Linked DNA regions of Coturnix japonica. The main gene of each other region encodes a partner of the protein of the gene in region 2 in a complex. Links are inferred from orthologs where the notes say so. Each region holds a gene or a part of one and is shown on either strand. Other genes may lie near its edges. The genes, in order: MED23 and MED12.

Region 1 (3,819 bases), on a different chromosome or scaffold from region 2:
CATAGGGAAAAAATTATAGCACTTCATGACAAACCATACAAACAAACAAACAAATCAAAAACTTATTCCATAAATTGTCACAGTACTATTCTACTCAAAGAGGAGAAACTTCTGTGACCAAAGACCTTCCAATTCACTCAAAGACTGCTCTAATGCCACTGTTTGCACTAGGGATTAAATTTTGGTTAACCAACCCTTCCCCCCAAAATTGCATTACTAACATAAGTATATAACCTTTCTATCCATTTTCTTCCTTCATCCCCTAAGATGATGTGGGCAAGTATCTGTTCAAGATGAACATAGTTAAATCTAAGTGCCCATGCTACAGTTACAGTCAATGGAGATCTAGCCAACTAAGTCAATGGAGGCTCGTATGGTTCAGTAGGCTGCAAACCAACAGTTTTTCAAGTAAATTTCGACAAGACAGCCTAGATTAGACATCTGGGATTCATTTCAGTTGCTTAAGCAGAAGTATCTGAACGGAACCCCTTGTGCAAATAAGTATCTAAATTTAAGTGCCTTAACTTTGGCCTAAATCACACTGTCAGTTCAAATTCTGTGGCTTCTGTTATCCAAACTGACTATACTACTGTCACATAAAAAAGTACAAATATCTACATCTTCCCTTCAACCATTTCTTCACACGTTGAATAATGTTGTTGGGAAACAAAATGCTTTGGGATGATATAGATGATTTTACATCTTTAATCTTGTCACTTAGTTAACTTCGGTTGCAATAAAACTTCTCAAAGTTATGATATAATGCAGCCATCATTTCAAGTAATAGAAGATATTTTTATTTTATTTTTTTAAAGAAAACAGCAAGATACATCACAATTAAAACAGCCAAACTTTACCTATTTTTAGCAACAAATTAAGGTAAGCTTCTCTTTCATGGAAAATGTAGTACTCAACTAGAAAAGAAATGTTTACACATCCCTATTTGTCTGCAACAATAGGGAGGAGGCTGAGCAGGAGCTCTATTGGAAACTGAAATAAGAAAATATTCTATGGCTAACATAACAGTGGACCTGCATTAACTCAAAATCCTTACACTGGAAGTCATGATTTTCCTAAGGTCTACTCTAGTTAGAAATGATATGGCTGACCACATAACAAAAGTATATTTTCACTATCAACTGCAGTCAAAATACAAAAACTGAAGGAAGGGACCCCTAAAATAAACTGAAAAATGAAGTATACTATATGAATCAAAAGCTTTAAATCATCTTGCTTATGTAAATTCATGCCCCAAAATACAACAAAATTTTGACATATTAAACAAAAATAGTTAACTTGTTTTGACTCATTCTCTTACCACAAATGGAATTTATTCTTGCTGTAGGTCTGAAGGTATCCACGAAATCCGATACTAAATTACCTAGTAACTGGGTGAGAAGAGGAACAAAAATAGGTTAAGTTGCAGCAACATTAAGTAATGAGAAGGAATATTTAAGACTAAAATTGTTTATACATTTTAGTAAGATAAACAGAAATATACTAAAATAGAGATTTTAAAATTTTCTTATATTTGATTAAAACAAACAAAAAGACAACATATAGAGTTTTGCTCTATGAAAACCAATTGCATGATTTTAGATCTCATCATTACCCAGTGGGGAAGTTTTCCTTCAGGATATAGTTTTCTGATTTCTGTAACAGCAAAGTAGGCAGGTAACAAACACGCATTTCTTTCTAAAATGTAGGCTACCACCTGTAAGCAGAAAAATATATCAGCGCAAAAAGCCTATGAATAAGATAAACAAAGATGTAGTCTATGTACTAGCCTGAGGTAGCCCATAAAAATACATATCAGTAAGAATTAATATGCTTTTCCTTAAGTTGTACTCTGATACTACATTAGATTAATAGCTGTTTCTAATTGTACTAGTGTAAGCTAGCTTTGTTTAAACTCAAGTAAATCTGTGCCTTTACACCTGCATACACAACACTGAAAACTACTAGTACTTTCTCTCATTAAGAAAAAAAAGAAGTTAATATCTTCTCTCATTCAGCTTACCTCAGTATGCCAAACATGAAGTCTGACTCTTCCTTACCTACAGCATCCCCCAAAAGCTCCTTGTACAAAGGTATAAAACACAACTACAGAAACAATTAGAGCACAAAAAATGTCTTTGCTGGTGATCTATACCAAATCCCAAAGAAAAGCCACCCTGGATATTAAATACTGATGAGTGGCAAAAGAATGAGGCCAGTCTCTCTTTATAGCGGTATATAAAATTCAGGTAACTACCTCTCTTGCTGCTAAAAGCTGCTGTACAACAGCTGAGCTCACAGTGTTTGGAATTGTTAAGATTTTCTCGAGGATCACTTTCAGCAGATCACGTACACCCTAGAAGAAAACAAACAATGTTAATACTCCTTGATATTCTTTATTTCTGGCAGAAAAATATCACAATAAATGCAGTCAGACAGTAATAAACACCTGATTTTGCTGAAAATGCTAAACGTTAGAATGCACACTGCTACTGAGAATGTGAATATTAATAATATTAAACCCGTTCTGGAATTTCACAATCTTGGCATACCCCAGATGACAGTAATAACTGTTACAATTCTCATGACCATCCAGAGACATCCAATGAGCTTATGCAGACTGCCTAAAGATCAATCCTGTGAACTATTGGTTTTGCCTTAACAAGCCTACTAGCACTGGTGAGGCAGTACTCTGCAAGAGATACTTTGTTTTCTGCCACTTGTGTTGGATTTGTTCAGCTTTCAGCATCCTTTTCGTACATATCAACAGGAGGCAGAGGAGATACAAAAACTTCAGCTTTACTGTTTGATAGTAATACTTTTCTCTGTGTACCACTTATGCAACTGTCCTAGAGTTACTTAGCTTGTAACTAATAAAGGGATGGAAGATGACAGTGTAGTAGAAAAGAAACTGAGAGAAGGAAGATTTGCATAACTGTACAAAATTACCTACTAAGATAAAGCTCGTTTATGAAAAAGCATTAAATCTGGTCTCATTGAACTTTTTTTTTTTTTTTTTACATTTCATTTACAAAGTAAACAGTCATAAAAACAAAGCCAGTAAATAATATGTTTTCTCATAAAGAAAGAAACATAGGGAAGATACCTTATAGTCTACACCTCCAATGATCTTCCGGATCAATTTAAATGTCAATGCCCACAGCTGTGTCCTTTCCCATTCAAGCGTATCAGAGTTTATCAGAGACTCACAAACCATCCTACCAGAAGACAACGCAAGAATAAATGGCAGATAATAAGCATGTGCTCTACAGCAACACTTCAAAAATAATCTCACGCTACAACTTCCATGTATTGAGCTCACTGCATCGCAGCTTACCTGGGTGGTAAAAGTCCAGTTTCAACTGCCATTGCTAAACAGTCATAAAGAAAAGAAATTCTTTTAGGACTGTGCTGACTATGAATGAATCTTACAATCCACTGGACACACTGCTCGTGGGATTCCTGAAAAAGAAGCAGAGGGAAGAAATACTATTTACAAATAGTAAAACAAATAATAAAATTCATACAAAAGTCCCACTATGAAGAAATAAATCTTATCCCCTGTTGGTTTCATCATGCTAGAAGTCCAGTTGTCCAACATCCAGTTTTCCTTACAAGTCATTTAATATAATATTGGAAACATTTCCCACTGAAGTCATACTTCTCTACAGTCAATTCTTTTTTAATAAATGTGAATTAGCAAAGAATAGAATAAAATAGAATTGCTTTATATTGTTCTTCAGAGCTACAATCAAATTCACTGAAAATGAAGATGAGTGTATTTCAGAAAGAATGCCTACAGGTATCTAACCTTTAGAAGGT
Region 2 (3,819 bases):
CTGTTTTTCTGTATGTAAGTCCTGGATTTACCCATTTTATCTCTCTGGCTTCCTTGCAGTCCAGAGCACGCTTTGGGGAGGAAGGTAATGCAGAAGCCCGTGTTAGCTGAATGTTGACCAAGAATAAATGAGCATAGGCTAGTTTGGAGTTAATTTGGGCTGAGAGTTTCTAACTTGTAAGTGACAAAGCTCTGAAGTAACCTCTCAGTGTAATTATTACAAGCAGATTAATTAAAGGGGGCAGGATACAATTCTGAATGATGCGGGGAACTGTGTGTTTGTATACCCAGGGATGGCACTTTCAGTCTAAAATCCTGTACCTCTAAATGGAAAGATTTTCACTTCTTTATTTGCCACCTGTTGAAGGTGGGCTTTCTGGTTCTGACTTCTGCTGCAGTCTCAGAACTGTGTATCAGTCACTTAGAGTATTGAGATCTCTAGAAATGCTTTCTCTGTGGGTGTAGGTGTGGTATCTGCTGCTGCTCTTAGTGTTACGGAGGAACTCTGATAGCACTGTCTGTCTTTGCTCTCCTTTCAGCTGATCCTGGGAAGGAGAATGAGAAGGTGGAGTTTTTTAACCTGGTGCTGCTGTTCTGTGAGCTAATCCGACATGATGTCTTCTCTCACAATATCTACATGTGCACACTCATCTCCCGGGGTGATCTTGCCATGGATTCTCATGGACCTCGTCCTCCCTCACCCTTTGATGACCCTGCTGAGGAGCATGACAGGAAGGAGACAGAAGGAAACAGTGGGATCAAGCTAGAGGTGAGAATACAAGATACGCAGCTCTTTTATGTGCTTCCTCTTGTTCTGCTTCTCCACTCATACCAGCTTTGCAGACTCCTTGCTATTACTTGCTGGAAGATGGACCAGTGACTCATGTTTCTCATTTCCCCAAGCTATTTCCTTAGCACTTCAGTTGCAAAAGTAGAGGCTTGTGTTCTAAGTGGGTAGAAAGGTCTTGCAGAATGTAACAGGGTAGACAGGAAAATCTTACTCTGAGCAGCATATCAAGTGCTATGCAAGGCCAGTCTGTGTTGTCAGGTGTTTGCAGCATATGTGATTCTGGCTGAGTTTCGTTTGCCAGGCATCATCCTTGTTGGCAAACTGCTGTCACTGTCCAACATGGAAGTGGGGTGCTGCAGTAAATGAGTCTTGTCTTGTTTCCTGGTGTATTATTGAGATGTAAAGCTGCTCTGTCTGTTCTCAGGACACGGGTCTCTCTGAGCCTATGGACATTGACCACAATTCCAGCACGATCTTTGATGACATGGAGAAAACAGATTTTTCGGTATGTGCTTGCTGTTTTGCCTGCTACTCATAAGTAGATTATGTTGTGCTAGCACCAGGGACATGTGTGGGTTCTCCCTCTCTACTGTAGAGCTGATATGTTGGAAGTGTCTAACTTGTAAGGTAGCAGACACTGTGAAAAGTTCTTCTTGGCTTCTTTCACCTGTCTTAATTATGGCATGACCACGTTCCCTAACTGATTTGTTGTTCTTGCACCTTCCTAGATGTTTTCTCCTCCAATGCATTGTGAATCTAAAGCCAGCCCTTCCCCTGAGAAACCAGATCTTGAAAAGGAAGCAAAGCCTCTGCTGAAGGACAAGTCTGCAGAAGGAATGCTAGCATCTCTGTATGACCAGCCTCGACACATCCAGTATGCAACACACTTTCCTATTCCTCAGGTATGAGACCTGCTCGTAACCCTTTTCCTGCTGCTGCCTTGTGCTCTGATAACCAGGCTGCTGTGTTTCCCTGCAGCACTACTGTAAGCATGAACCTGACTGAACAGAGTTGAACCTGATCTCTTTCTGTTCTGTTACTGTGGGTGGGTGAGGAGTGCAGTCATGTTTTTCTGCATTGCTGCAGGAGAGTGATCTACTTAAGACACCTCTTTGCTTACTCCCAGAGCAGCTTCTGAGATGAAGCTTTCTCTTTGCTTTTATGAGATCCAGATGTGAAACAAGATTAAAGTATTCAGCTTGATAGTTGCTAATGCAGTTCTTTCTCTTGGTTCCCCAGGAGGAATCATGCAGTCATGAATGTAACCAACGGTTGGTAGTTCTTTTTGGGGTTGGAAAACAACGGGACGATGCTCGGCATACAATCAAGAAAATAACCAAAGACATCCTAAAAGTTTTAAACAGAAAGAGTACTGCAGAGACAGGTCAGTATTGCTTGAGCCAGTCTTTCCAGTTGACTGCCTCCTTTGTCTGGAGTCTCACAATGAAAGGATTTCATATGATCTGCAGTGCCTGGTTGGCTGTATCAGTCACTGACTGTCTGGGATGGTGCTCTGTTCTCAAATAATAATGAGCAGCGAATAAGATTTGTTTCCTCCTGCCTAGATGTGTTCCATTGAATCTACCTTCTTCGGTAGGTGCTTAAGTCATGTCAGTTTCAGAGTGAGACCCTGGCGAAAATCGTGGCATTTTCAAACTTTATTTTCTTAAGCTCTACCATTTAAATCTTTGCACAAAAGCAGCGGGAGCTTTGCCTGTGAATGTTAGGCAAATACCCTGATTCAGTGTAGTGTGTGCTGTTATGCTAAGCATGCTGGTTAGGGTGGCAGGTTTGGATAGTTGTGTCAATACTGCTAGGAAACCTCTAATTTCTATTGATTGAGAATCTGGCTTCAGGATTTTTTTTTTCTTTTTGTTGGCCTGATTCTTGAAAGCCAACTTGAAACATGGTGTGATTCTTCAAAGGTGGCATGCTCTAACAGGCTTCTGGGCTGAGCCATCTCCAGTCCAGAACAACTGTTCTCACCAGGGAGTCAGTGTTTCTTCTAAATGGGGGGGAATATATTTTCCCCCTTCACTCAGGATAAGCTAGATGTTAACTGTGCTGTCATTCTTTGGCTAGAAATTCTTCCCTTGACAGTTTATTGTTGTGAATTCATAATGGTCCTTATCAGCTTACAGGTGGAGGATCAGGTTCTTTGGCCATGCTGCTTGGCAGTGTCTGGTCTTGCTGAGGGCCTGGCATGTGCTGATGACTGTTTTCTATTCCTCTTCTGATGAGGAAGGTAGCCTGATACTATTTTCTAGTCCTCTCAATTTTTGTAGGTGGAGAGGAAGGCCAGAAGAGGAAAAAGAGCAAGCCAGAAGCATTCCCAACAGCTGAAGATATCTTTGCAAAGTTCCAGCACCTTTCTCACTTTGATCAGCACCAAGTCACATCTCAGGTATGAAACCTTCAAGACTGCTGTCCTCTTTGGGCCCTGACTGAATCTCTTTGTGTTACTGAGGACAGCTTCCTGCAGGGAAGAGGTGTTGGGGCTGCTGAGGGGCTTCTGCAAGGGGAGATAGCACAATGTGTCACCTTACACTTGCAGGTATCCCGCAATGTCTTGGAACAGATCACCAGCTTTGCCTTGGGCATGTCCTACCACCTGCCTCTGGTACAGCATGTGCAGTTCATCTTTGACTTGATGGAGTATTCACTCAATATCAGTGGTCTTATCGACTTTGCCATCCAGGTAAGCACAGTGCTGAAGTGTTCCCTGGGGAATCAGTTCATCAGCCTGAAAGGCAGGAGATACGTGCTGTGATAGCTGGGCTTCTGTTAGGGTTCTCTGACCTGTGTTGTGGAGGTGGTCAGAACTGATAGTCATTGCAGTTCTCCTGGGCTGCAGCTGTTAGGAATGGGTTGTTTGCAGCAGATAGTCTTATGTGCCCTGTTGGAATGATTATTCTTCCAAAGGTTTTCAGGGTTGTTTCCAAAGGATTTACATTGCACCTCTTCAGCAAGGCCTTTTTCTGAGTGAGGAGGGGAATGTGTTTCTCTGGCTAGTTTCCTGCCTTCCTCTCC

Evidence for each region.
Region 1: MED12 (region 2) and MED23 share a complex: the UniProt entries of both Homo sapiens proteins name them as parts of the mediator complex. The link is inferred for Coturnix japonica from reciprocal best matches to the Homo sapiens genes MED12 and MED23.

What each region holds. Positions count from the first base shown.
Region 1 is NC_029518.1:51,921,977-51,925,795, reverse strand, and holds part of MED23 (mediator of RNA polymerase II transcription subunit 23), read right to left. Parts: intron 3,460-3,819; coding exon 3,335-3,459; intron 3,216-3,334; coding exon 3,104-3,215; intron 2,354-3,103; coding exon 2,255-2,353; intron 1,715-2,254; coding exon 1,613-1,714; intron 1,389-1,612; coding exon 1,319-1,388; intron 1-1,318. UniProt on the Homo sapiens protein: Required for transcriptional activation subsequent to the assembly of the pre-initiation complex. Component of the Mediator complex, a coactivator involved in the regulated transcription of nearly all RNA polymerase II-dependent genes.
Region 2 is NC_029519.1:2,315,126-2,318,944, reverse strand, and holds part of MED12 (mediator of RNA polymerase II transcription subunit 12), read left to right. Parts: intron 1-538; coding exon 539-768; intron 769-1,213; coding exon 1,214-1,294; intron 1,295-1,517; coding exon 1,518-1,691; intron 1,692-2,028; coding exon 2,029-2,173; intron 2,174-3,074; coding exon 3,075-3,193; intron 3,194-3,343; coding exon 3,344-3,487; intron 3,488-3,819. UniProt on the Homo sapiens protein: Component of the Mediator complex, a coactivator involved in the regulated transcription of nearly all RNA polymerase II-dependent genes.